Linked DNA regions of Astyanax mexicanus. The protein of the gene in region 2 purifies or fractionates together with the protein of the main gene of each other region. This does not show direct contact. Links are inferred from orthologs where the notes say so. Each region holds a gene or a part of one and is shown on either strand. Other genes may lie near its edges. The genes, in order: baz1b, daxx, map3k5 and hipk2.

Evidence for each region.
Region 1: the proteins of daxx (region 2) and baz1b purify together in Homo sapiens (co-immunoprecipitation; 3 studies listed by BioGRID and IntAct, with this or other methods). This does not show direct contact. The link is inferred for Astyanax mexicanus from reciprocal best matches to the Homo sapiens genes DAXX and BAZ1B.
Region 3: the proteins of daxx (region 2) and map3k5 purify together in Homo sapiens (affinity purification with western blotting; 7 studies listed by BioGRID and IntAct, with this or other methods). This does not show direct contact. The link is inferred for Astyanax mexicanus from reciprocal best matches to the Homo sapiens genes DAXX and MAP3K5.
Region 4: the proteins of daxx (region 2) and hipk2 purify together in Homo sapiens (affinity purification with western blotting; 3 studies listed by BioGRID). This does not show direct contact. The link is inferred for Astyanax mexicanus from reciprocal best matches to the Homo sapiens genes DAXX and HIPK2.

Annotation. Positions count from the first base shown.
Region 1 is NC_064416.1:32,017,001-32,024,080, forward strand, and holds the start of baz1b (tyrosine-protein kinase BAZ1B), read left to right. Parts: upstream 1-4,063; 5' UTR 4,064-4,789; coding exon 4,790-4,908; intron 4,909-7,080. UniProt on the Homo sapiens protein: Atypical tyrosine-protein kinase that plays a central role in chromatin remodeling and acts as a transcription regulator. Involved in DNA damage response by phosphorylating 'Tyr-142' of histone H2AX (H2AXY142ph).
Region 2 is NC_064410.1:22,184,466-22,192,273, forward strand, and holds the start of daxx (death domain-associated protein 6), read left to right. Parts: upstream 1-4,798; 5' UTR 4,799-4,813; coding exon 4,814-4,820; intron 4,821-5,734; coding exon 5,735-5,946; intron 5,947-7,808. Other genes in the region: tapbp.1 (TAP binding protein (tapasin), tandem duplicate 1), read left to right, coding at 171-494, 634-735, 958-989, 1,104-1,115. UniProt on the Homo sapiens protein: Transcription corepressor known to repress transcriptional potential of several sumoylated transcription factors. Down-regulates basal and activated transcription.
Region 3 is NC_064408.1:49,309,861-49,317,004, forward strand, and holds the start of map3k5 (mitogen-activated protein kinase kinase kinase 5), read right to left. Parts: upstream 3,006-7,144; 5' UTR 2,273-3,005; coding exon 1,897-2,272; intron 1-1,896. Other genes in the region: lrp11 (low-density lipoprotein receptor-related protein 11), read left to right, coding at 6,793-7,144. UniProt on the Homo sapiens protein: Serine/threonine kinase which acts as an essential component of the MAP kinase signal transduction pathway. Plays an important role in the cascades of cellular responses evoked by changes in the environment.
Region 4 is NC_064416.1:17,790,293-17,797,530, reverse strand, and holds the start of hipk2 (homeodomain-interacting protein kinase 2), read right to left. Parts: upstream 3,015-7,238; 5' UTR 2,676-3,014; coding exon 2,657-2,675; intron 1-2,656. Other genes in the region: tbxas1 (thromboxane-A synthase), read left to right, coding at 4,650-4,725.

The DNA.
Region 1 (7,080 bases), on a different chromosome or scaffold from region 2:
TGCTGTAACTTTTCTTTAAAAATTATAAATCTTGTGTGCAATTAAAAAGAGAAATTAATTAAGAGGCGTTGAAAGGAGAAACGCTACTCTCTTCAGCTATACGCACGAGTTAAGGAAACACTTAACAAATTCTTAGCGTTACCAAGCTTTCGGGAAACCCACCCTTGTTCTGTTTCCTAGATGTTTATATTTATTAACTATCAAACATTAAATACACAGAGATTACTTGCCACAGCTCTCTAAGGAGTTATTCACAAATATTTGTTCCTATGTATAAATAAAAAGACAATAAAATGTAAAATGTAAGTAAATATATTTCTATAGAGTTGTTCCTATGTATCTAATTGCTAATGTAACAGTTTGGAATAAGATGTGCAATATTTTCTGTCATTTGTATGCATTATACTGATAATTCACCCTTTAAAATATCGTTTTTTGGGGGGGTTTTCTACGGTGGCCGAGAAATCCCAGCGCAGTGCAAACTGAAAAGTGCTGCAAAAGCACAAAACACATCCATCAAAATTACAACACAGGCGCAGCAAATAGAAAAACGCGCTGCAAAAAGAAAAACGCGCTGCAAATAGAAAAACGCGCTGCAAATACAACCACAACACAACGGAAGTGAGTCACAACACAACGGAATTTTCCCGGGGGACCTTAAAAGATGCTGTATTAGCTGTATACAAAGGACAATAAGTGGCAAACAAGCTTCTGAAAAGTAAGTTATGTTTATTAAAAGTTCTGCTTCACAAAACGCCTTGTTTGCCACTTATTGTCCTTTGTACACATAGTGAAGTCCGAGACGTTACTGAAGACGCAGCTTAGCTGGTACAGTACCTGGTACAGGTCCCCAGGGAAAATTCCGTTGTGTTGTGACTCACTTCCGTTGTGTTGTGGTTCTATGTGCAGCGCGTTTTTCTATTTGCAGCGCGTTTTTCTAGTTGCAGCGCGTTTTTCTAGTTGCTGCGCCTGTGTTGTAATTTTGATGGATGTGTTTTGTGCTTTTGCAGCGCGTTTTTCTTTTTGCACTGCGTTGGGCTTTCTCGGCCACCGTAGTTTTCAGCATGCGCAGGGCCGGTTTGGAAAAACCTGGAGGAGAAAGAAATGGGTCTTTGGAATGATGGGAGTCAAAGACAAAAGACGGAGAGTTAAGGCAGGAAGTAGCATAATCAGTGATGAGTGGAGGGCATACAGGGTTGTGTTGAGAAACTTTGGGTACAAACACTATACCACAAACCATATCAGGGGGTTTGTGGATCCTCGGTCCGGTAGCCACACACAACATATTGAAAGAGCTTGGGGGATCATCAAAGGACATATCTGTAGACTAAGAGGAAATCATACAGAGACTTTGTTGAAGGAGCACCTCATGGTACTTGAATGGTCATCCTGGCTTGGATCTCTTAACCCTGATGGGCCACTTGGACGCCTGTTAAAGAATATTCAAAAAGCCTTTCCAGTATGAATTTCATGATCTATTTTCAAGTGCTCTAATTATCATTCAGCAACGACTGTTTTAATGTCTGAATCAGTGGGACTTTTATTATGAAAAGTGATTATTATGATTATTATGAAAAGTGTGCTTTGCATGAATGAAAATGTTTGGTTGTTTCTGTTGTAACTAGGTTTATATTTCATGTGACAAAATCATATTAGCTGTGTAAAGGTTTGTAAGTCATGAATAAATAGTGAAGTGTTTTACAGTTTAAAACAAGGCTCCTATCTGGTGTTTATAAGTGTTTGTAACTCATTAATACATAGTGAAGTTATTTATACTTTAAAATAAGGCTCCCTTTTGGTGGTTATAAAGGTTTTTAACTGATTAACACATAGTGAAATGTTTTACACTTTAAAATAAGGCTCCTATTTAGTGGTTATAAGTGTCTAAAACTCATTAATAAATAGTGAAGTGTTTTACACTTTACAATAAGGCTCCCTTTTAGTTGTTATAAGTGTTTGTAACTCATTAACAAATAGTGAAGTGTTTTACACTTTAAAATAAGGCTTCTATTTAGTGATGATAAGTGTTTTTAACTCATTAATAAATAATGAAGTGTTTTACACTTTAAAATAAGGCTCCTATTTAGTGATCATAAAGTGTTTGTAACTCATTAACAAATAGTGAAGTGTTTTACACTTTAAATAAGGCTCCTATTTAGTGGTTATAAGTGTTTGTAACTCATTAACAAATACTCATCGACAATTTAAAAATCTGAATCTGCAAAAGCAAAATGGAAAACTACATGCTGGGAGCTGCAGTAATTACTTGCAGTGAAATTGCCTGCAGCAGACCAGTAAAGGAAGGTTACATCTGGAATGCTGTCCTAAAGAAGATGCCACTCAACCTTAAGGATCACAACAGTACTTTTATGTTCTTTGAACATTAGCACCTGGCAGCATTATATCAATATCTGTGACAACCCCAAGGACGATTTTAGATAGTATGCAGAAAATGTAAAGGTAAGGGTAAATATAGCTAAACCCTTAGATGTCAGTTTTATTATTTCATATGACAATATACACCACATTATTATAAATGACTAAAGGAGTTAGTGGTGGAATGATTAAACTCGGAAGTTAAATGGTTAAACTGATGTTGACTGATGGAGGATATGGAGATGGAGAAGCAATATGAGTTAGATGGAGAAGACAAAGTAAGTTGAGTATATGACAATATCTGAAGTTTAACAATATAGACGGCTGTGGGTTCACTATTTGGCAAACAACAGGTTATTGTTGCCCTTTCTACGCATGTGTTATAACTGATTATTAATTAATTGTAAGGCATTTACAACCAAAATATTAACCTTTAATCAACTAATTGGAAACCATTTATAAACCCTTTATAAATGTAGTCTTATTTTAAAGTGGTACCAAACTTTTACTGTGCGGAATAGAGAGGCCTTGTGTCAATCATATCTAGAAGCGGCGTTGACTAGCCATATTGGACTACATATCCTTAATGGATTTCTGAATAGTCATTGAATAGTATGTTACCATTGACATATCTCTCTTTTTTCGTACACTTTACTACTTACAGATATAATTATTTACTATTATCATTATAAAAGATATTGTCATTAATGTACATAATGTATATGTATGTATATTGTCATAAATGTATATAATACATACTTATATAATACCTAAGATACCAGCTGTCAGATTACGATGTTGCAATGTATTGCAATGCGTTTTTCTTCCGGTCAAGAGTGATAGACAGCCAAGAGAGCCAATGAGATCCCTACATTGCGGGCGCGGTATTTGGGTAGCCAATAAGATCTGGTGGTGGGCGGACCTAATAGACGCTAGTTGCTTGTTGCCGGTGTAACTTTTTAAGGGTTAAACGGAAAATTAGAACTGATACATGAAACAAAAATGTATACTGCTGAACATAAACTACATATTCTGACAGCATTACAGGACCGTTTGTGACTTTGTTCATGTGTTTGTTCATCTGAGCGTAGAAGTGCTGAAGATAAAACTATTAAAGCTAATGATATAAAGCTCCTATTAAAAGTGTATTTTTGCTTTAACAGGTCTGTTCCAAATACTTTAACAATTCAAATACTTAAATTAAATGTTTTGCATAAAATATAACTAGTTCTGATATAATTACTAGCACAAAATACAAGCTATGAAATAACTGATGTGTTATTTATCAAATAATTGATGTGTTATTTATCAGGATTATACAATATTACAATGTTTACAGCCATGTGCCCACAAAAAAACATCAACCATGAATGAGCTGCTCACTGAATTTGGCTGATTCAATTTTGAATTTGGTATAAATATTTAGAAATTGGTGTGGACTCTTATAGGTTAAGATAATTAAATAAATAAAATCTAACTTATAAGTATGGTTATTTACAAAATGTAAAATAATTAAAGATAAACTTAGATTCAGGTTTAAGAGTATGATGTTGCGATCTAAAACACATATCCGACTAGTCAAGGCATAGACGGTGGTGTGATAGACAGCTAGGCGAACCAATGGGATCCCTCCGCTCCGGGCGCGGTATTTGATTAGCCAATGGGTATGGGGGGTGGGCGGACCGGAGCGACACGACGCCGCTTGCTGCCGGGGTAACGGAGTTTTTGGGGTCGAGCGGAATGTTGCCGGTGGAGTAGCTCTCCCGCCATTTTTCAACCAGACTTATTTGTTCTTGGACGGGAATTCCGTCTGTTCGCGGACCGGAGCGCGGCGCGGGTCTTTACAGAGCGGAGTAAAAGTAGTTAGATAACTAGCTCAGCGTTCGTCATCTGCGGGAAGGCGGCCAGGAGGCATTGTGGGACGGCGGACGGCTCAGAAAGCGCGCCATACGCCCCCGGACGGCTCCTCTGTTTTCCCGCGAGTCTCTGTGTCTCAGCAGCCCGGCTTCAGGAGTTTCCCCTCCACAGGAGGAGGGTCTGCTGAAAACCGCTTGCTTCTTTACCTCCACAGGGCTGGACGCGTTGAAGCGGCCCGCTGGATATGCTGCAGCGGGCTTGTTTAATCGGTGTCTGGCGGTAAAGCGGCTTCTTCTAACCCCGAACTCCAGCTAGCTATTGTTTTTCTCCTAGAAGCTGCAGCAACAGCAGCTAGCGTAGCCTAGCCTAACCTAGCTTAGCCTGATGCTAGCTCCGCTTTGAATGTCGGCGGTGGAAACGCGGGGACAGGCGCTTTGCGGTCCCGCTTGATTCAGCAGGAGTTACGCAGCGGCTAATGGTCGGGTTCGTGTTGTTTAAGCCGAGATTCAGCGCTAGAAGGAGTTCGGACTGATCCTCCGCCGTCTGTAAGCGAGCGATGGCACCGCTGCTGGGCCGGAAACCCTACCCGCTGGTGAAGCCGCTGGCCGAGCCGGCGGGCCCCGGCGAGGAGGTCTACATCATCGAGCACACTAAGGAGGCCTTCAGGAACAAAGAGTATCCTTTCTGCGGTCAGAGCGCTCTACCTAGCCCGCCGCCCCCCGGCTCTCCGCACGGAGGAGCGGGCAGCACGCCAGGGAGGACCATAAATATGACCAGAAAGCTGATAATATAATCAGACCGCGCTGTGTTTATTTTTACTGCCCTTGTTTATTTGTTTGTTTCACTGCTTAGCAGCGTTACTTAACCTAGCTTAAACTGAGTGAAGCTGTCTCGGCTAAGCTAACCGGTGTTGTGCCGGATTGTGCCATCAACGTCAAAGCGTGTTACCTGCCATAGTGTATATATACATTTATCTGTTAGTTAAAGCAGTCTGTTAAGTGGCCATGTGTCGATAAGCAGAAAGCATTATTAACTATATCTATGGCAAGCCTTAACTTCGTAAAATCTCAAACAAAAATGAAATCTTTAGTAGTAGAATATCAGATCTACAAATGTATAAAAAACAATCACTACTTTTACTATTATGCAATGTTATTTTAAATATCTGGCTACACTGTAAGGTCGATTAGATAAAAATAAATAGATCTGAAGATCTCAAATTAGTACTATTAAAAATGTATAACTGATACGTGAAATAGGAGTTTCTACAAGTAAAAGCTTAATTGCAGAGATCTGGTACAAGTAAAAACGAAAAAAGTCTGGACGTGTAAATTTACGCTATAGAACGCAGAATATTTGCCATAGAAAGCACAATATCACAAATCTTAATCTTACAGCAGAAACAAAATATTTTATATATCACGTAATTATTTGTGTCCGTTTTAACGTTAGGTAATTGGTGTGAAAATGAAATATGTGGTTTCCTGTGGACATTTTTGTCCTATTTAAACTGTAACATTGAGCTCAGATTGTACAACACACTTGGAGAAACAGAAGTATTAGTAAGGACACTTGAAAACATTACGTATGCTCTCCGCGCATGCGCAGGGCCGCTAAGTAGCACACGTTGATGGGTAGTAGAACTCGGCAGCACACCGGCTAAGACGCTAATGACACCGAGAGCTGGCATTATTTCAGGAGGTCGGGTGTTTAGAGGGATTATGGAGGTAATGATCCTGCAGGCGGGGCTCAGGCCCGGCGGGGTCAGGTACTGCCGCTCCTGCGGTTCCGTTTTGGGCGAGTTAGCGGGCCAGTGTCAACGAGCTAGCGGCCGCGGCGCTCCGTGCTAACGCGCGTCACACGCCGGTCTGCCATGACCCGAACCTGTGGGGCTCCCCGGCTAACGCGCACGCGCGCACACGCTTACTCTTTTACTCTCATACACTCTAAGCTAGTTCCTTTTTTATTTAAATTATTTAGACCCACATGTTCTTACAACATCAGTGATGAAACAAACACATGAAGGAGATTAACTAGCCATTTTTGTTGCATCGAATTAATTGTATAAATCTATGGATAGATACCTAGTTTATTGATCCAGCAGGAAATGTCTCATCTAGTAACAAAAAATACAATTGGATGGTAAAAATATTGTATAACGATATTTAAAGACAATTTCACGATACACAGTATTTATTGCAATGTTTCTCATGCAGACAAAATGCATTAATAGTAGCAGATTCTTAAGATTTTCCTGACTGAAAATGTATAGTTGGGTCAGGGTTGTTCAGGCACTGATGATATCCTCGACATGCTAGAAAGGATATTGTCAATATGTCACGTGAAAATGTGTCACAATATATTAACATAAAATGTCATTGCCGAGCTCTGCAGCACAGTTACAGTTCACACAGTCCATAAATAAATATGCGTAGGCTGCAAAAAAACTTGCTTTAACGTAATATACAGGTGCTGGTCAACGAATTAGAATAATTTGAAATAGTGCAATCATGAAATTCTTTGAATGCATTTTTTGTGCAGAAAGCAAATCAGGTGTTCACTGCACCTGTCCTACTCGTTAGACTAATCACAGAACTCGTTACCTGGAAAAAAATTTGCTCAGCTGAGCTTTCCAAAAGGCCCATTTAGGCCATTTAACTGTGACACTGTTGTTTTATTGAATTAGAATAATGGAGAAACTGTTTCATTGAATTAGAATAAATGCTCGAATTTTTGTTTTCTGTGAAGAGTGTTCACTGTGCAGTATAAAGTCAGGGTTGAGTAGAATTTCTAAGTTGTAAAATCAATCATGGGTAAGCAGCGCGACCTCTCAACCGGAATAGTGGC
Region 2 (7,808 bases):
AATCCAAAATTTTGATATAATAGGGATAAAATATAATAGGGTAAGATATAATAATATAGTATATATTTCTCCTTGCATAATCACAACTGAGTTGGTTGGCAGCATTGGAATACATAGAAAAACACATATAATTTAATTGAATTTCTATTATCAATCTCTTCCCTTTTCAGAGCCTCCGTCTCTTGGCATCTACCCATCCCCTCTTCCCATCTCCGCCCCTGGGCAGGTGGTGTCAGTGCACTGTGAGGCCTCTGGTTTTGCTCCTCTTTCTCTGGAGCTTGGCTGGGAGTTTACTGGAGCTGATGGTAAGAAGCGGTCCCTTGGACAGGGCAGTGTGTCGGGCCACAGGCAGGCATCTGATGGTACCTACAGCCAGAGCACTCGTATAGAGCTGGACTCCAGCAAGCTTGGGCTCGGACGTGGTGGTGAGGTCAGCTGCGTGGCCGATCACAAAGGAGGGTTTAGACGAGCTAGTGTGACACTGAATGTCGTTGGTGAGTGACAATGCCTTTTCGCTCATCATGCTGTCATTGCTGGGTAAAATTCTATGTGATAGTATTTGTCAGAAGCAAGATGTAATGACTTTGAATTTACTTACACATTTGTGAAATATTTTTTGTTGTTGTTTTTCAGGTGTTGGTGCTCCTTCCATAGAGGACTCTATGGCAATGGTTGCTGTAGCCCTTGTGCTTTATGGTGTAATAAAGGTGTTTTTCTGGACCTTCACATCTTCAGGTAAGCTACATTTTGTCTAAAAGTGCAAAGTGCAGTCCTTGCATGCATAATGTGTCCTACTAAAGAAGATTTAAATAGATGCTATACTGATAGAGGTTCAGGTAAAGTCAGTGTCTCTAAATACTTTTTTACTATTAACTGTGTTAGCATGCATTGTTTTTTCCATCCTTGGGGGTACTATTCAAAGCTAATTCTTTGTTTTTAATTCTCTACCAATGTCAGGGTCTTCCAAAGCACAAGAATCAGGGGATAAGGTAATTTCTGAGTTTTACACTACTTGATCTGTTTGATAATCATAAATATAGCACCCTTCATATAGCATGTATGACTGGCATGTATTAACTGGTTGTGTTTTTGTTTGTTTTTAGAAGGACAAGTAATCGCAGTGCTGAAAATGTCTTCCTGGATGTCTTGATTAGAACTTATGTTTATGCAGATGATGATAGAAGCCACAGTAAAAAAGTACACCATCTCTTTAAAATGATTATACTGATATTTTTGTGCTTGGTTCATGATCCAGATTGTGAATAAACACTGAGATAGTGTTGTGGTATTTTAAAATAATGGGAAAAGGTGTCTTTATGTCTTTTCTGAATTTTGTTTTATTTTATTTTTTTTGTTTCATTTAGACCTGTTTGGGTTTTATTGGTTGATGATTAATTAAGTAAATATATTGTAAGTTTTCTTTTCTTTTATCTTTTGAAATACCATGTCATGAATCCTCTGAAAATGACTGTATAAATTTTAATTTTTTTTTACCTGTTCATCGTTTATTTTAACCCCTGTTTGTTAATGTGTGTAAGAGCTGTGATGCACAAGTTGAAAATAAATGTGTGACTACTGGTGTATTCCAAGCTTCTGAAGTCTTACATGACTAAGTCATATGAAAACGAATTATTAAATGAATTATTATATGAATTATATGCACCCAGGGTAAATTTAAATAATTACTCTAAGTTTGTAGGCTTGTACCAAATGTCTCTTGTCACGTTTACTCAACTTCAGTATCAAAACATTTAAAAAAGTTTTACATCTAATATAGAACTAATTTTCAAATACATAGTATAAATAAATAAGCATGTTGCTCATCACCTAAGCAGTAATTGCTGACTTAAAATAAAATGTCCATTTTGTTTATTTGTTACTGTCCATCTTGGTTCTATTAACAATAGTGTATATAGCAGTAGTATGATGTAAGAGTTCTAGATTTTGGACACTGGATAAAAATCTTTTTAAAGATACTACAAGGACATCTATGCTGCTTGTCCCATTAAAAACACTGTGTTTGAAAGTGCAGCGGCACATTTTCAGCATTCTGTGTTAAAGCAGCTTCACACTGAACAGATATACGCACTGTAACACAGAATCTTCTCATGTGCCACGCATTTAACTTAAGAGTCTCTTAAATGGACAGTGTATACATTACTGAATACTGGACGTCACATATTTTACCCAGGCCATTTAAATGCTCATCCCCCATTGTGAGCATGTGTGTAATACCAAACACTTCCTGAGATTTTTAAACTACACAGAAATGTTTACAATAAAGTACACAAATTGGTTTTATCTCCCCTCAAACATACAAAAATATACTAGAAATTGACACCACTAATATACATATAATTGCATTTTATATTTCCTACATTCATTTCTTTATTTACATTTAAATATCCACTATAAAAATGTTATTCTTAAGAAGAACAAGTGCGATTAAAGACAGTTAATCCTGGAATATTGTTGTTATTAATCGAATTAAATTGTTTTGAAAGATTGACACCACTGAACTTAATACATAAAACTTTGATATGTTTTTTGCCATTCAGTTCACCTTCACTTTCATTTACTGAAGACTCACTCACAGGTGCCCCCTGGCGGTTTACAGTTATTTATAATTAAAACGAAGGAAACAGAAATAGGGGTGTCATATAAATATTGTCTATGATAATATCGTAATTGCTCCAGCATAACGTTATCGATTGTGCTAATTACTAGGGAAAACAATCAAAACACCTGTACTTCGCACATTTGCTATAGACTGATGCTGTCTTGTTTATTGGCATGGCTGAGCGCAGATACTAATCCAGCAAGCTACCTATCCAACTATCTGCTATTTACAACCACATTTTCTTTTTCTTCAACAGAGTCACTGTGCTAAAGACTCTCTCTCATTTCTCACACCCGATCTCTCACTCTCATAAGTACTTATTTAAAAAAGTCTGCCAGACCTAACCCACTGCACTGTTACTTTACTTTCTTCCACTCAAAAATATGGGCAAGTATAAATATTGATTTTAATTATGATTAATCATAGAATACTGTGGTGATTAATACATTTTTTTAGATGAGTTACACCACTGATATAAATATAATAAAATTTTGCCAATCAAATGCTAATTCGTTTAATTACATTTAAATACCTATAAAATGAGGGGTTCACTAAACCCCCGGAATTGAGCTGACTCCACCCTCGGCTCAAATTAGTAAAATGGGAGGGGTAGTTTGGGAGGGGTACTGGGTGATTTATGGGTTTAGAGGCAGGGCAGGAGGGTGAGCTGATTGGCTGAGCTGCAGCAGCAGTGTTCCTCTGATAGTGGTGAGACCCAGATGGAGCGGTATAATTAATTGTCTTATCTGCTTATTGTGATTGTTTGCATACCAAAGTACATGGAAACATCATCTTTGCCAATAGCACAGTTGAACCTGAGAGGGTACTGCAGACACGGAAATGGCCGCAATAAAAGCGCTTTTTTTTTTTTTAAGTTTTTAAGTTTTAAGGTTTATAAAAAAATAAGAATTACTTCAACTGAACACATTTCAGCTAGTAATAGAAAAATGGTTTACGGTTTAGTGCCTCTTTAAGGAAATTTGATAGGCCACATGGTTTACACACGTGCACTGTGTGATATTTGAAATAAAAAAGTAAATAAAAAAATGCCTTAAACATATTGTTTCCGTTCATATATTTAGTAAAGCAATTACATAATTATTATTATCCTTTAAGATGTGCAGGCTAGTACATTATATTACTTTTACAAACTCATTTTAAAAAATTGCAAAATATTGTTTAAATTACAGATCGTTAAAATTACAGAGATTATCGAGATATGTGTACTTTTGTTAACATCGGTCACCCATAGATAGGCAGCGTGCAGGCTTTCCGTAACAGGTGTAGAACAGGTGTTCTGTCGAGTTATGATACCCATCCATACGTGTTTCCTAAAGGCACTACGCACGCGCTTACCCACGCGTTTTGATTCTTTCTTGTGTTTTTTTTTTATATAACAAATCTTTTTTGTGCATTTTTTGCGCATGAAACCACTTGGACTCACTGTCATTGCACGAAAGTGTAAATGGAAATTGATAATAATAAATACTATAATTATTATTGTATTATTGAATTAATTATTATTATAAAAAAATACAAAAGAATTTTGAAATGAGCACTCACTGCCATATCTTTACCATGATACGGTGATTTATTCTAAATATACTAGCTACATCTACTGGGTAGATACTTCTGCTGGATACTTCTGCTTCTTTTGTATTTTTACGGTTAAAATATACGCTAGGGTAGCGCGGTTTGGCAAGGCGGCACAACTCGACAGAACACCGGCTCTGACTCCTCCGCTCCAGATGGGGCGACAGTGAGGAGCAAGTCCCGCTGAACGCGGAGGAAAACCGGCTGAAGAAAACTGGAGCAGCCAATCCCGTAGGAGCGGAGCGGCGCGGACCGAACCGCGGGGGCCCGTTGTTCACGAGTGCGCGCGGTGTTGCCATGATGGTTTTTAGGCGGAATTTTCTACAGGAATAAATACTGAATTAAGAACCTCCATCGGATAAAGCTGCGTGAAACGAGAACGCTCGTCAGGAAAGCAAGAAAAAAGAGCAGTGTTCAGTGGAGGGTCTGTGTTACTGCGCGGTTTCTGTAACTCCTCTAAGAGTCAGTTATTTTTGCTTGTCTGAAGGCGGGATTTGTCACAAAGACCTGGCAACCTAGCGAGTTGTTAAATACAGCAGAATCGAGCGCGTAAGTTGCCTTCTTGTTCCAGCGTGTTCACTATGAGTATAATGTGTGTTTATGGGTGGTGAGGACCGGCTGTATGGCTTTTAATATACCGTATAATATCCGCCAACAGTGTAGTTTACTGATTAGTTATCAACTAGGAGTAACGTTAAGTGTGAGGGTTTTAAACAGACAGGAGGTTAGCCTGCTAGCTAACTATCAGCTAGCTAACTACAACGAGGAAGCTAACTAGCTAATGGAGACACCAACGCCAGTTTAAACAGCTTCCTTTTACTATTTAGCGTTAACCTAGCGTTATAATAGAGACGTAGCTGAGGCAGTAAGTGCCACGTACTCATGTTTAGCCTAAATTACATGGTGAAGTTAATTGGCTGTCTCAGTTTATTCCCTATTATATAGTTTAAACTAGTTAGCGAAACTAGTTTAGCTGCGCGGGGCTCGTTCCTAGCTACCATTATTAGCTGTCTAGTTTTATAAGACTGAGTGAACCTTACTAAGTTAATTCTGTAACCTCAAAACGCCAAGAGTCACTAAGAGCACTTTTTATCGCTGTGTTCATCAAAATTCTAAAGGTGCAGTTATGTTATTTTGCCAAAATTTGGTAGTTAGTTGTTTAGTTAGCAAGGTTCGTTAACTAACTAAACTAGTTGGCTGTAGCTAGGTGTAACTTAAGTCTTTCTTGACGGAAATAACTATCAAGACTATTAATGTTAAACTTAAGGCACACCCTAGGTTAGCTAACTAGTTAAGGTATTTCGATCTTCTTAAAATCTAATATTATTAAGGGCTTGGGGTAATGACAGGAAAAACAGTAGCTCGGCCTTAAATGTGTTTCCAGCAGCATCAGAGTAAATTGTGTGTTAAGACTGAATATAAAAAGGAATGTATACTTTGTTTGAATCCAGTTCTAATGCTCCTATTTTTCTTACGCTGCTCAACAGTTTTCCTTACCTAACATGTCATTAACTGTGGTAGGTGTCACAAACACGATGGACAGCATTGTGATCCTCGATGATGATGAAGCCGAAGAACCTTCCACATCTACATTACGTCTTCAAAGGTTTCGAGGGTCCACTCCATCTAAAGACCAAGAGTTAAAGCCAACACACATCACACAGTCACCTTTCAGTACTGCAAAGAAGGAAGGCCATGTCCTGAAAGTAGAGAACGAGAAACTCTTTGGAGAGGTAGGTGTATGGGTTTAAGCTTGTTTTTTTGTTAAAGAATCAGACCTATAAATGTGAATTAGACATAAAAATGATTGCCACTGTTCAGTGAAACGAAACCAGTTTGAATAGGACTTATCAGTATTGAAGGTAATAAAATGTAATGACCTCAGAGCTGCTTTAATGGCCCATGGAATCTTTTCTTTTTTTCTCTTTTGTTATGTAGTTTAATTAACCTTTATCTACACCCTTGCTGTTTACATTTTAACTTTCTTAGTCTTTTGTACAGTTTTTTTTTTTTATCCAAAATGTTTGTTTAGTGCTCCTTTATAAAATTCTTATGATGAGGATTCAGCAATAATGCACAAAAGGGAGTGCTATAATGTGTTCTATTGGCCTGTTAGATCAGCACAGCGGTGCCAGTATTACATGTTCTAGCAAGAACGTGTATTATGCCAATTATACCACAGTTATGTTATCACTGTTTACTGAAAGACTGAGTTAGAGAGGATGAGAAAATATGATCTGTTTGGTTATAGACACTCAGAGTTAAAAGAGTTCCATTGCTGCTCTGTTTCTAGCTGTGCTGTTTGGCTTGTAAGCTCTGCATTGTTGCTAGGTTACCTGTATGTGGCGGAGTAATACATGGAGAGCCTCGGTGACAGTGCATTACCGGCTGATAATGGCACTCACAGAACACCTCTCAGCCCATCGCCAATAACATTGCAGGATCGGTGGTACTGTGGTACAATTCAATTTAGAGTATTGTAAACAACCCACACAATGTTTTTAATTTTCCTTTTTTAAATTTAATTAAAGTAATCTTTTTTGTTTTGTCTTTTAATACATTTAGAGACTCGATTAAGGATTTAAACACATTAAGTATATGTTTTAATTTGGAACAGCCTAGATATAAACAATAAAATAAATAATCAAATAAATTAAATCCATTAAATGAAAAAAATATGAGTAATAACATATGAAAATGCAATACTCTTAAGTAATAAAAATGTGCACCACAACAAAGTAACGATTGCAACAAAAAAGGCCTACTTTTTTGGGCTGCTATTAGGGGTTCTGTATGTTTTCGGTATTTATGGTGGAAAAAATAAAGAGGCTGGGCGTTCTGTATAGCCTCTCTTTTATTATGTTTGTGATAACAATGGAATTTCAATATAACCATGTTTTGTTTTTTGGGATGGAATGTTGTAACGGGTCTTGAGCACTTTTATTAAATGCTTGAAACCATGGTTCTCTCCTACTGTCATCAAGAGAGGCTCCAACTTTTGGATCTTGTTGGAACAAAAACAGCGTTACTTTAACTGCCTAAACTACAAATATTTTTCCTAAAGATGTTACTATAGAGAAAGAGAGATGGAGGAACCCCACAAATGAGAATGAGACAGATAACTAGTGGTTCAGAGACAGAGTGAGAGAGAGACAGTACGAGCCCCTGACCCTGCGTTCACACTGGAAAGCAACAGGCGACCATTCATTTCCTATGGCGGGGCATAATTTCAGCACAGCAATGGGTGCAACATTCCTGTGAACATTAGTTCCTTCTGTAGACTTTCTGCCTGTATCATGCAGTCTGCATGCGTTTATGCAAAATGAACTGTGACCCCGTACCATGATGGTTTACCGGGCTTAAACGGCAAAAGCTGTAGGGTAATTTACCACAGCATGACTTGGATAAAACTCGGATGTGAGAAATCCAAGAGCATGAAACCATGACAATTGAGTCCATGAAGTTTAGAATTTTAAATATTAAAGTTTACTGGAAAAATGATTTTAGCATTACAGATATAAAAAAGGAACATAAATGAATAGATACATTAGAAATTAGTAAAAGTACATCAAAAAGTCAACATATGGGCGTTGAG
Region 3 (7,144 bases), on a different chromosome or scaffold from region 2:
TTTACTTGCACTTTCAGGATTAACCACATTTGCTTAGTGTGTACTTTTATACAGAACTACCCACTTCTTGTTAGGTTTGTTTAACTTCTGATAAATGTCTTGTGTTTTGCAGGATTTTTGTTTCTGCAAGAGCAAACATATTTGAAACTGGGTGACAGAAACAACTACAGATATATTGGTGATTGAAGGTTTATGAACTGTTTGAGATTTTCTGATACTTCTGCATAAATTTGACATAAAACAAATTTTCACAAATCCTAGCACATAAGAAAAATCAACTCAAAGGCAACAAATGAAAAATTACAAAACTTGCCCATTTATTTATTAAGAAAATGGATCCAGTATTAAGCACAAACTTTCACAAACTTCCAAGCACCACCGTACCTTTGGTTTTGAATATGCCTGTAGCATTATTTTATAACAGTCAATGCATTTTTTATCCAGAGAGCTAAAAAAAAGTGTGTTAACAAAAGTACACCAAGTACACCAATTTAGGTGCACCAAACACTGTAGATAGTTGATTAAATGGCAATTTGTGTGTTAAAGTCATGGTGACCATTGGTTCCAGTCACCTCTATTGTATGTTTTGGTAAGTTACTCCACCCTGCTGAAAAATCCAGCTCAAGACCAGCATTTGCTTCTAGCTGAGGTAATGGTTAAGGTGGTTAGAAGCCTGGTCTTCCAGATATATAATTAACCTATGCTGGGAAGCTAGCTGGTCAGCCACCTTCTGACCAACACTGCGTATGCTGTTTCTGAGTTAGGTCATGGCTTGGTCATGTTGGTTTTTCTTGGCCAAGCATGGTTTTTCTGGGCATGCTGATCATAGTGGTCGACCAGTTAAGCAATGTTGGTCATGCTGGCCATCCAAACTGGTGATGCTGATTAAGTGGTGGGGCTGGTCAACCAGCTTGATGATGTTTATTATGCTGGTCAGCCCAGCTTAGGTGATGTTGGTAATGCTGTCCAACATGCTTGGTCATGATGGTTATGCTGGTCAACCAGCATGGTGATGCTGATTATGCGGTCCATCAGCATGGTCAAGATTGGTCAGAGTGGTGGTTTAGCTTGGTCAGGTTGATCATGCTTTAGTCTAGGGCTGCAACAATAAGTCGATATAATCGTCAATGTCGATTATTTAAATGCATCGACTACAAATTTAATTGTCAACTAATCGTTCATTTGTAACAGTCCTGCATTACACAAAGTGCTGGAGACAGAAGAGTAGCTCACTGAGTGGCTCACTCACACAGTTTACACTCAACTCCAAAAGTGCCCAAACACTAGAGATTACATATTTACTCACAAAATATTAGTACTTTCCACATTTAAAAAGCATCTAGACATTTAAATGTCTTTTAAAATCTCATGTTCAGCTGTTTCTATTGTTTTTAGAGATGGAGAACATGACAGAAATAATAGTTGATTAATCGACTAATCGAAAATATAATCATCACAAAGTTGACTACCAAGATAATCAACAGTTGCAGCCCCACTTTAGTCCAAACTCATCAAACTTTAACCAAAACTAGTCAAGAGCTAAGCTGAGCAACTATCCTAATCTTGAACAACATCAGCCGTTCTGTTGGCTATGTTTTTCAATTGGGTAGATTGAAGCATTTCACCCCAAATCCACCTGAATGACTACTCAATGCTGGTTGACTAGAATAACCAAGAGAAAGTGTGTTTTTTTTCCCAGATAGTGAAGGTTGTCCAATGGGAACTGCTCTAAACTCTACTACTGTTGGCTCACTGTCTAATAGACATATCTGTCTGTCACTATCTATGTTCTTTAGACTGGTGAGCCCACCTCCTCAGTTTCACTCTCAGTCTACCAGCGTGTGAATCAGCTTCACAGCGAGTCCTTAGAACTGGGATAAACAGCGCTGCACCTACCTGCGTTGTAAAAGCGGTCGAGTACGGCCGTCTCTCCGAAGTCCAGCTTCCCGAAGAGCACGATCTCGAGCGCGGTGCCCACGGCCTCGCAGGCGTCCCGCAGGCACTGCAGGGCCATGCTCTCGGCTCCCGTCTCCGAGTTCAGCACGTAAGCCACACTCGCCCGCCGGTTTTTGCACTTCCCCGGTGTAAGCAGCCCCCCGAGCCCGGCTCCGAGTCCGCTCTCCGCGGGGCATCCCGCAATGACCCCCGCCGCCGCCGCCGCCACCGCCGAGGACGCGTCCTGCCAGAAGGTGCCGGCGGCGGGCACGGCGGGGCGCGAGCAGTCCTCGCGACACGGAACCGGCAGAGAGACGCACTCCGGCTCCGGGTTCATCCTCCCCTTCTTCTTCTACGGAGGAGGAGGAAAAGAAAAGAGAAGAAAAACAGTAAAAACGCTCCTCCAGTCACTTCAGTTCCAGTTTCTTCTGCAAACGAGTTTTAGACATTCCTCCGCGCAGAATAATAAAAAATATATATAAAATAATAATAACGAAATAAATCACTGTTCTGTTCTTCACTCAGATGTTAAAAAAAAGATGAAAATCCTAGATTCATTAAAAAAAGTTGTGAATAATTAGTTAAAAATGTAAAAACACGTAGGTAAATGGTCCTGCAGCGCTAGCGCCGCTGCCCAGCCGGTTTGTTGTTGCTGTCAAGTCAGCGGCCACGCGCTCGTTCCAGCCTCGAGTCACGACGCGCGCGCGCGCTGTTTGTCCGTTCAAAAGTGAGTGCTCTCGGTGAGCCGTGGCTCCGAGAGCCCGCGCGCCTCTCCGCGCAGCACGACGACGCGGAGGAGTTGAAGTTGCCGCACGACGCGTCGGAGAGCCGCAGGAGGAGGAGAGGGAAGTCCTCGACGATCCGCGCTGCGCGAGACCATGTTCACCACAACACCAGCTCGACGGATCCGGCGCGCGAGGCTGCACGAGCTCAGCTCATCGCGCTGCGAAAACAAACACGAAAACGAGTCACACTCACACGCTGCCTGACTGCTCGCTCGCGGGCTCGTGCGGACCCTGCCCTATCACCACTGTTATCTCCTCCACATCACCAGAACTCACACACACACACACTACTCACGCGAAAACGGGGCGGGGCGTATTAGCATACCGGGAACGCCTTTTAAAGAGTCAGGCGGTCGAAAGTGAACATGGAGGAGGTGACGGGGGATTTCTGTTGGACATTACTCACGTTCTGGATAAAGGGGAATTCCACCGCCTTTTTAAAAGCGTCTCTTGTGATGAAACGGTTAAAATGTGAACTAATTCAGAGGAGGTTCTGCTGAAACGGGTCATTCTAGGAATTCTAGGAAAGTTGTACTGCTCAGAATTGTTTACACTGGTGGAATGTACTGCCTACGAAAGCTACATCGCAGAAGATTAATGCAGTAAATTGTTATAAGGCTGTGGAGTACATGTTACAATAAGACAATGTTTTAAGAGAGAGAGAGTACAGTTATGGGGTACGTGCAAGGTCAATCCATTTATTTCTGCTGTAGACTGAAATAATTGAAAAAAGTTGGTGGGTTCAGACAGAAGGTGCTATCTTCTGAACTGTGTACCAGATCCAGATGTAAATACATGAAAACAGAAGCTGAAAAGCTGATCTTTAGTCTCATATTCACATTTTAATGGCAAACCCAAATGTTTTCAGTCTACAGCAGAAACAGGGGGATCAGCCTCACTGTTCCACCAATACTTTTGAAGGGGACTGTTTATATGTTACATGATGGTAACTTTGACATGGCATACTAAATACTAAACAAACTACTGCGTGGAGAAGTTTAAAAAAAAAAATAAATAAATAAATACAGCACTGTCACATTACACATTTTGCTGTTTCAGCAAGGGTAGGCTCTTTTAACATCATGAGATTTAAAACAAATTTCTTTAACTAAACTTTCTCTACAGAAAGACGATTGTCAAGTCATAATGCTGACCTCTAGTGGCCCTCTTTTGACAATGCAAATTAACAACCCTTAGTATTTTTCAACTGCTAACCGACACTGCATGTTTTCGTGTGTTTACCCGCTTTGTAATAACATAAAGGGGCCCTCATATACTTAAGATGTGTGTGCTTGAAAAAAAATAAGTGCATGAGGATTTCAGGAAAAGGACTGGGACCCACAGGACTATAGATTCTTCGTAGGGGATGTCCTCAATGAGGACTACTGAGGACTGGGGAAACAGCATCAACAAATCACTAAATAAATACACTCCACTATCTGTAGTAGCACAATAGCTGTATACACAATAGCCCTTAAGAATGACCAGAATAAGTATCACTGCATCCTGCAGAGAAGAATTAAACTCTCTGTTGCAAATGAAGTCACAGCCACCTCTAGTGGCATGGCCTGGTTAATGCCTCTGTAGTGGGATGCCCTTACGTCACTTCAGGAAATCCAGAACCCAGTTACACAGGGAGTTGTTCAGGCCCAGCAGACTCAGTTTTCCAGCCAGATGCTGAGAGACGGTAGTGTTGAATGCTGTCAGTGAACAGTATGTGTCTTCATTTTCCAGGAGGGTGAGGACTAGGTGGGATATGGTGGACAGGATGCAATGTCTTGAACAGTTGGTAGCAATGAAACAGTAATCATTGACATATGACACTGGGGACTTCCTCATCACAGGGATGATAATGGCAATCTTAAAGCATGTATGAACTACACATTGTGAATGTTCTTGAACATAATTACCATTGCTCAAATTACCTGTTGTGACACTTTTAAGAAGTGCAGGACAATTCCTGGTTGCCACTAATTTTATCACTGAGCTGACCTAGTACTGTTGTGAAAATAAACAAAACGGTGTTTAAAGCAGCATTATGTTGCTGCTTGACCTTGTCGCTTCTTGTCTCCCCCTACAGTAAAGTGCAATTTGTGCTTTGAGCAACCACTAAAGCACACACTTTTTACATGCATTTTGCAAGAAGATCTGCAGAACCATCCCAGAAAGTGAATGGAATCACGTGGACTTTTATGCAACAATGGCTCAGGCTACACAGCATTACACAGTTGTTGTGAACATTGTCCTCTCCACTTCACCAGAGTTACATATTGCAGTGTCTTGTTAATTTTTTATGCTTAGTGATTTTTAAGCTGCTATTTTAGGATATACAATATACTAGACATTGCCTTGACATTGTTATAATAATTAAAAACTGAAAAAAGTACCTGTAAATAGAAATTATGTTTTTTTTTTTTATTATATATTCATGAATAAATATTCAAGCGCTACTTGTTCACAAAATGTCTCAATCCTGCTCATATCATTTAATTTGTATAAATGACTCTAAACTGTATTAAAGCAATAAAATAAATAAACACCAACTGCGTGATTTGAGGTCACATCAGCTCTTAAAAAATCTGTATACTTTAAATGTTTAACAGTGAGAATGAGCTGACAACAAATTACTTTGTTTTTTACTATTAAAGAGTTAATTTTATTGTGATGGCAAATACAGTCCCCTCCAAATGTATTAGAAGAGCGAGGCCAATCCATGTATCTCTGCTGTACACTGCAAACATTTGAGTTTTTTTTTATTATACTTCTTAAAAAAAGAAAAAGATCAACATTTCAGCTTTTATTTACAGTTGTTTACATTTGGCACTGATACACAGTTTACACAATAGACCTTTTGAACCCACAAAATTTTCTTGTAAGTCAAAGTATTGGAATGTGTGACAGGTGTCAGTTGTATTTCTTGATCTGGTGTGTCCTGATACATTGATTATTTACAAAATAAATAGCAATAAATGTCTACACTCAGTTTCAGATTTGGGTTTTGTCTGTAAAGACTGTGCATTTATAGTTAGAGGAGTAACAACATGTCCCTGAGTAAAACAAGCAACTGTAATGCTAAGAGCAGATGGAAAATACATTAGAGCCATTATACAAATATTGTTTATAGTCTGTACTACAGTTTGCAATGCCCTAAACAAAAAAAGTTGTCACTGGTGTATTAAGTAACAGATGTCGAACAGGTAGACTAAGGAAATCCACAGCAGTTGATGACAGAAACAATATGGGCATATTGCATGACAGATTCATTAATCTTCATCGATGTAGAAACATGTCTGTCAATTTAAAGAAAGGTGCAACCAAATTAATTAGGAGATGCTTCACCATGCAGCAAGATAATGGCCAACAATTGGTGAACACCTAATTGTTTACTTGTTATCTCACCTATAAGAGAACCCTATAGAGCACCAAAATTATTTTTTAAATTATTTTTTAAATTATTTTTTCTACTGGGAAGGGCACTGTTTGGAACACAGTCTTCTGACTGCAGTGTATGAGGCACTTCATAACAGCCATCCCTACTATTTGAAGGACAGAAGTCCAAACAACCCTGGGGGGGCGTACGTAAAGGGGTGGGAAAAAAATAAGACCACCATCGAAGTGCACAACAAAGGATGGGCTTCGCATCTGGCATGACGTCAACGTGCACTTTTGTGTGTGTGTGTGGGGGGGGGGGGGGTGTTGTTGTTGTAGGGCTCGGCCTCCTTCAGGTACCGCGAGACAAAACGGGACGTCACGTCAGGATTTCATCTACCTCCCTCTCTCTCTTTTTTTCGCTCGCTCATTCGGACTCCCAATTTCAGTGCGCATGCGCTTGCTCGCCTCACTCTAGCATCCTCCGTCCCCCGAGGACCAGAGGCGAGCTCGAGCACCTGCTGAACTGAGCGAGCGAGCCAGTGAGTGTGAGTGGGAGAGAGATAGATAGATAGGGGGATAAATAGAGAGAGATAAGGGCATAAGAGGAGAGTGAAAAAGAGAGGGAATATGGGCTGGTACGCGCGGAGACGATGCTGATGGTAATGAGAAGGACAGCGAGCGTTCTTTCCCCGACAGCACCATGAGGCTAAACATCGTCACGCGCGTCCTCGCGCCGCTGCTCTGCTGTGTGCTCTCCGCGCTTCCGGTGAGCTCGAGCGCCTCGCGCGCCGTCTCCTCGCCGCTGTCGGACCTCAAGAGCAAGATCAGCGGTGTGGAGGAGCTGCTGGAGGAGTTCCGCCAGCAGCTGCAGCACGAGGAGCAGCCTTACGAGCACGAGCAGGAGGATGAGCAGGATGAGGATGATGAGGGGGAGGTAGGGGAGGATGAAGAGCGGGAGCACGGGCCCGTGGCGGCAGCCTGCCTCAGCCGCTTCGACTCGGCCGAGTCGCACATCATCCGCGCGGCCGTGTCCATCGAGCGCGGCGCCACCT
Region 4 (7,238 bases), on a different chromosome or scaffold from region 2:
AACTTTAAATTTAATTTAAACTGTCCACTTGCTGCCTAATGTGTAGGTTTCACCTCTTCATAGGTTAATCGCTTCACCCATCCCAAACAAAAATAATATATATTTTTTTTAGTTTGCATTTTTGTTTTTATGCTGAAACTTTTTTATGGTCAATGATATGTCAAAAGTCATAGGAGGGCATCATATCTGAAATGATACAACCAGAAAAGCACATAATGACATAATTTAGCCCAACAATCATATAGCAAATCATCTGCCTATCCCTAACTAACGGCTGTTTGTGTGAATTCCAGTAAAAGATATATATAAACATGTCTCTCATTCCTTTATGCCACTACTTAAGAATGAAACTAAAACTGAAGTGCTTTCCCAATCATAATAATGAAACTATTCATATTCCAAAACATTATATAACATACCTGCTTACAAAACAGGTAAAGCTCTACTCAGGTAGAGATCTACTCTTTGTCTTGCCAAACGGAGAACCACAATATACAGTAATTACCTGTAATTGAGGAGCCCAATTTCAGTTTCAGTGCAAGCTTTAACTCCACCGTCCAGGCAATTCCCATAGCTAAACCTGCTCATCATTTCTAAAGTAAAATGAGTCCAGTGGGTTTTTTTATATGACTACATGGCCTTTTCCCTCTCCCTCTCCCTCTCTCTTTCTCTCTCACACACATACACACTCTTATTCTCTCTTTCTCTCGCTGTAAAAGTGCCACTGCGTCTCGATCGCTGATGGCTGTGATGAGAGTGTCAGAGGGTGACGGCCTCCGTGCCCTTTATTGTCTCCAAATTCAAAGCAGCGACTTCTAATCAGTCTATCACTCTATTGCATCAGGGCTTCAACGTCCAACACAGTGGCACCCTACATCGCAGTCGTGCTTTAATTATACATCAGTGCTGTGAGAGGCCGATGACAAAATCAAGGCAGCAAAAACAGCAAGGTAGCAGCTGATTTTCTTTCCTTCTTTTTTTTGTTTCACCTTTAAAGAGTTTAATGCACATGTCTTGTGACAATACAACATGTGTTATGTTGTACAGATTACAAATACAAAAGGTAAAACCTGAAAACTGGAAGGTGGTCTCCTGGATCTGACATGATGCAGTTCTCTTTGCCAACAGCAGAGGGGGTGTTGGGGAATCAATCAAGATTCCCATCTTTAACTGACAGCGAAAATAAACACTTCGGACAGTTCAAATATATCGACTTGAACAGTGGAGGGCGAGCTAACGTTTTATAACAGAAACGTCTGCATTTCACACCTCTTTGAGGATTATTTAGGTGTACTATTGCAGTGCTATTTCTGGTTTAAGTCTCTATGGACGCCAGGACACGGAAAGCATTCCTTAAATCCGTGCTATACAAACAGTACAGTCTAAACAATGAGAAACATGTCCTGTAAACGCTGAGATAAGCTGTTAAAAGTTAATATTATCCTCATTACTAATCATTGTGGCTTATTTGCCAGCCCAAAATCACCTTAGCTAGCTACCTCAGTGTGTTTGAAGAACAGCGTAATATTAAGACAGCCAGTTACCTCAGCCTGCATGAGCAGCAGCTATAACCGCTATAACAGCTAGCTAGCCTATTGGATCAATAACACACACACATAAACACTCACATACTAAGTCACAGGACACACACATATTTAACTAACATTGGTTAGAGTATAGTACTGAGCTGCTTAAACACTGTGTGCCATTTTGCTCTGGGATTAGTCACCCATAGCCCATACAGAGCTAGTTGGTGCTGCTGCAGTAAGACGCTCACTGACTGCACTTCTTTCTAATAAATGACTGACTGACGCATTAAATCACAAAGATATCTGTGTGTTTAAGGTAAAACTCTGAATTACAACACATTGCAATACTTTCTAAAGAGATTAAAGAGGTCAATATCAGAGAATAACGCGTATATTTACAGCAGAGACCCTTTAAAAGAGTGATTGATTTGTGGAGATCCACTTTTCACACTCTAGGTTAGTTAACATAGGTTAAGTAACTACCCTTAGGTTAGCTGTTATCTATTTTGAACGTTTGCCTCAAACAACAACAAATATCCAAAAACAAAGCCTTGGCAGAGTAAAAACATCCTAAAAAATAAACAATACAAACAGAACTGCACTTAATTAGCTAAGCTCTTGAACCCATACAACCTATTCTCACTTCTGAGTTTGTAGGTGAAGAAATTAACTGGTATTAAGATATTTATTCCGAGTTAACTAGTAATATAGTAAATAGTTAGCCAGCTAACTAGCTAACCTAAGTAACTAGCGAGCTAGCTAATTCGCTAACCTAGTCGTTACCTATTTAGTAGCTAAGGTAACCAAGCGATTCTGCACGCAAAGCTTTAACCAGCTATATCTAGTATTTTAATGGTTAAATTAAATGAAATAATAACAGTGCGACCAATTTTTCTTCACTAAACTGCTTCTTAGCGATCTCCAACATCTCCAATATATTCTTAGCTACATGTTATTAATGCCAAGTGTAATATTATGAGGTAGTAAATCTGTTATAGCTGCCAAACAAGAGCGCCGTGTTTGGAATAGACCCACGGCGCTATATAAGTGAAATAAACCTTCAAAAACGCTGATTACCACCTCTCCAAAAAAGAAAAATACCCTTTAATAAAAACAACATTTCCTACCTTCGTATACAGGGGCCATCGGTGCAAGGGTTTCTGTTATTCATGGCAAAATATGAAGAGATATTTCAGTTCAGAACTCAATAAAAATCTGCCATCTTGCGCCGCTGACAGAATCGCCGCTGTCTCCTGCATTACGAGCCCAGTTCATCAGGAAGGGAAAATAGAGAAAACAAGAGGGAAAATCACATCCACAGCTCCGGCTCTTTATAAAGGCTCCACAGCGAGGTGTCGGCAACTCAAGCCCAACCAAACGAGAGCAGTTTAGCGGCTCCGAGGCTGAGCCGAACAGCAGGTTGGGCTTCAGCCCGCGGTGTGCATGTCTGTGTGTGGAGTGGCTGCAAAAGTTGCAATGGTGAGAGAGCAGAGCGAGTTTAGCCTAGCCTGCGAGCTAATCAAACGACTATCTCATCGATCACAAACGTAACGCCCCCCTGCATCTCATAATAAAGGGGTACTTACACATGTTGCATGTCTTACCGTCTGAATTGATTAAAAACCTTAATAATAATAATAATAATAATAATAATAATAATAATAATAATAATAATAATAATAATAATAATAATAATAATTACTATTTGCAATCCTTCTTTTATTTCAACACCACACCGGAGAAGTAGCCAACCATTGTTTGTTTGAACTGTTCAAAACTGAATTGATTTTACTCAAATATTTATCTTTTAGGATTAGCATCCCACTAAATAGCATTGCTATCACGCAAAAAAACTTGTATATCAAAATGGTAAGGCAAACCCCTCCCCCCTTTAATGGGAAAAGTCTTTATTTCTTTTCTGACATAATGCACAGAACATCTGCCATATGCAATTATGTAAAAAAATAAAATAATAAGCAGCGATACTTACCTAGGTTATAATTAATCAATAATTTTCACTACAGTCCTAAAGAACCAAACTATCACTTAGCTGTAGTTAATTGTTACTTTTATAAGCTCCCAGAACAGAGTTTTCTATAGGCTTTTTGTGGATGAATATATTCTTTCACCATGTACTTTATGAATAATAGACTAGTAAACACTGTGGCAGATGTTTATTGAGCAAACAGAAAGGCCATCAGCTGCAGACTCTACAGATGCTCCTCGCTAATCCACAGGCTGGGAGGAGGATGATTCTGGGTTGTGCTATTCCTGCCTGGATCAGATCCTCCAATGACGCCAGTGGATTTGAGAGTGAAGTGGGGCGGAATCGGATTACAGAGCTCATACAGATGGGAATAATCTGTCATTTACCACCAACCGCTACACAAAAAGCGTCATATCTATTTATTTAACAACAACCGCAAACGAAATATCCAATACATATTTAAATACACATTCCTACTTACATACACAAACATTTACAATAAATGCTGCTGTATCATACATTATATTACATATAGTACAAAGCACCAAATAACAAAGAAAAAAAAAAACAGAAAATAACATCTCTTATATTAAAATGAATAATACAATTAGAATACAATTTACATTTTACAAATTTACAGATACAATTGTACAGATTTATTTTTATCAGATAACAAAAACAATAGAAACTTTTATAGTATTCATTATAATAAAAACTTACGGGGAAATTATTAGATGAATGTAATGCAAAATTATTTATATATGTGTGTTTTAATCGTGTCTGAATCCATTTTATTCATGCTATATTATTATTATTTTTCATTTTCATTTTTAACCGTTATTCTCTTACATGTTTTTCTCTTTGTATTCTAATTTGTAAAGCACTTTGAATGACTGTTGTGTATGAAAGGTGTCTACAAAACAATTTATTTTGTGAAGTTTTGGAATTTCTTTGTTTTTAAAGTATTGTTTGTAATTTATATTTATTATATTTGAAATATAACAGAGGCAAAAAACAACAGTATTCTACCCTTTCTATTTCAAAAATGATGAAAAATAAAAATGAACATAAAATAAATCGTCAAATTCGACTGAACTACAAATACCAGAGCGCAGTGTCAACTTGTAGTTCTTATGCAACCTGTAAAACTACATTACCCAGAAGCGCGTACTTGTCAACAAACAGCACAGTGGGCTAACAGGAAAAGAGGTGAGCGTTTTAAAGTTTATACTCAAATATCTGTCTCTGTGATATGTTAGTCACTGTGGCCTCGCTACCCGGGTTGACCTGAGCAGAAGAAAACTGAACTGCAGGTCTAGAAAGGCTTTATTTTAGCTGTCCCGTTGCACAACTGGCACGGGATGCTGGAGAGTGGCAAAACGCGTGACTGGAAGTTTAAAGCTAGCCATTGTTAGGTTATATGTGTGTCTGTGAATGTGAGTGTGAGTGAAGGTTCACAGCTGAGAATGATCTGCCTAATCATATACAGCTCCACAGACAGGCCTGCATTTCACTCAAACTGAAAATGTACAATATGTTAACACGTTACTGAGCTCTGTAGCATCAGCTTAGGCTGTTCTGCGCTGTGGTTCTGTGGTGTTAATAAATGAATGAGGTTATGAATGGTTAATGAATGCGGTTAATTCATAACCGCATTCATTTAGGTTTTAAAGCTTGATTTAAATAGACACTTTGGTTAGGTGATGGGAAACTTGGTTGAGTATAATGACTCATAAACAGCTTTAGTCTAATGACTCATAAACAGCTTTAGTCAGTAATGCAGGGATTTGTATGTTCATACTGTTTATGCATCTACATGGTAAATAATTACTCTTATTAGTAATATCTATAATATACAAAGCCAATGCACAAAAATAATGGTAATAAAAAGAGAATGCAAACCTACAAAAGAACATGCTGATGATCTTAAGGCTCTTGGGCAGTACTGCATGAAAACAGGCATGATTCTTTACTGAAAATCATTGCGTTGGCTCAGGATCAATTCTACAAATCATTGTTTGTAAACACACTTCACTGTATAATCAACAAATGCAAGTTAAAGCTGTATTAGGAAAAGAAAAACATCGCTCACAACAGTTCATTGCATATATTTTGTTTTTCTTTCTTTGTTTTTGTTTTTTTACCCAATGCCTAAATGTTTTGGACTTGGGGGTTGTACTATAAAGTACCAGATTTTTTAAGGATCCCTCTAAAACAATATTATACTACATAAAAAAACTATAACATTCGAATCAAGTGTGATCAATGATATCCATCAATAAAGAAACCATCCTAGTTTAAGCATTTTGTGCTTTTTATAGGTAGCCACATAAACGACAGTGTTCTATAAATTTGAATTTTAGTGTCTTTTTGTGAGTCATTTTTGGTTGCCCTAAATTAAATTCCAGTCATCTCCCCCTGTCACTGTGCCTAGATATCCTTTCAGATCTCACTAGGCCTTTCACAGTCACCATGTGGCTCCCTCAAAGGAGAACTTAATGAATTTTTCTAGACTCTGATAAAGCCCACAGTACTTCATGAGCAAAAGACGTGCAATATCTGAAGTTTTTGTTAACTCCTTAGTGCCCAGCGCTCATCATTATAGTGCTGTTTCACTTCATCTACCTTCATTTAAATACATGCATTTACTGTTTTGCAAAACTTTCACAGCAGCTTTCACTGGAACGTTATTATTAGTAGATTTCTTAATAGGTTTGGTAGTATAACATGTTAAATGACCACACAAGTCAAAAGATAGGACACAATGTTCCTACATTGTAAATTACTACTGAAGTCATCCAGACTATGAAGGAACACATAAAAAGTCATGTAGAAAAATACTTTGTGAAGCGTTTAGGTGGCTCTTATCCGGGGTGCTGTTAACTTGTGGTTTCTGAGGCTGGTGGTAACTCTGATGAACAGAGGTAACTCCTGGTCTTCCCTTCCTGGGCCGGTCCTGAAGATAATTTGTTTTTGTTTCATAAAGATTTTGATAGTCTTTGCGACTGCTTTCAAAGGTTCAAATCAAAATTCTTGAATTTTTTTCAGATTTACTGACCTTCATTCTTTAAAATATGTTTTTCTTTACTTAGTTTAGTAGTTCTTGCCATGATATGGATTAGAACATTATTCAAATAGAGCTATTCACTGTATACCAACTCTACCTTTTCACAGCGTTAACACTGATGCTCTCAAACTCATTAAGAGTCAAGAAATTCATGTAATTAACTCTTGACAAGTTACAAGCACAGCTGTTACATGAAAGCCAATCAAGATGATTCTTCCTCATAAAAATGATTTAAAAAATGCCAATATATCAAAAGCTGTCATCTAAGCAAGTGGTACTACTTTGTTGTTGTTTACTAAATAATTACATGTGTTTTTTTTTCATAATTTGGATGACCTTAGTATTAATCTACAATGCAGATTTTTTTTAATTATGAAAAAAATAATAATAATAAGTTTTGTGACTTTGTGACCAAAGTTTAGTCTGGTACAGTGAATGTAGAGGTGAACTCAGGGTATTTATTTTACAATCATTAGAGATGTATACTTTTTCCAACTCAGTAAATAGTTCCATGTATTCTGTGTTTGGCAAGGGAACAAGGTTTTGTAGGAAATGTTTGTTTGTTTGTTTGTTTGTTTGTTTGTTTGTTTAGCTTGGCTGGACCTGCATATGGTTTTAACTCGGATGGTGGATTTTTTTGGAATTTTTTAAGTTT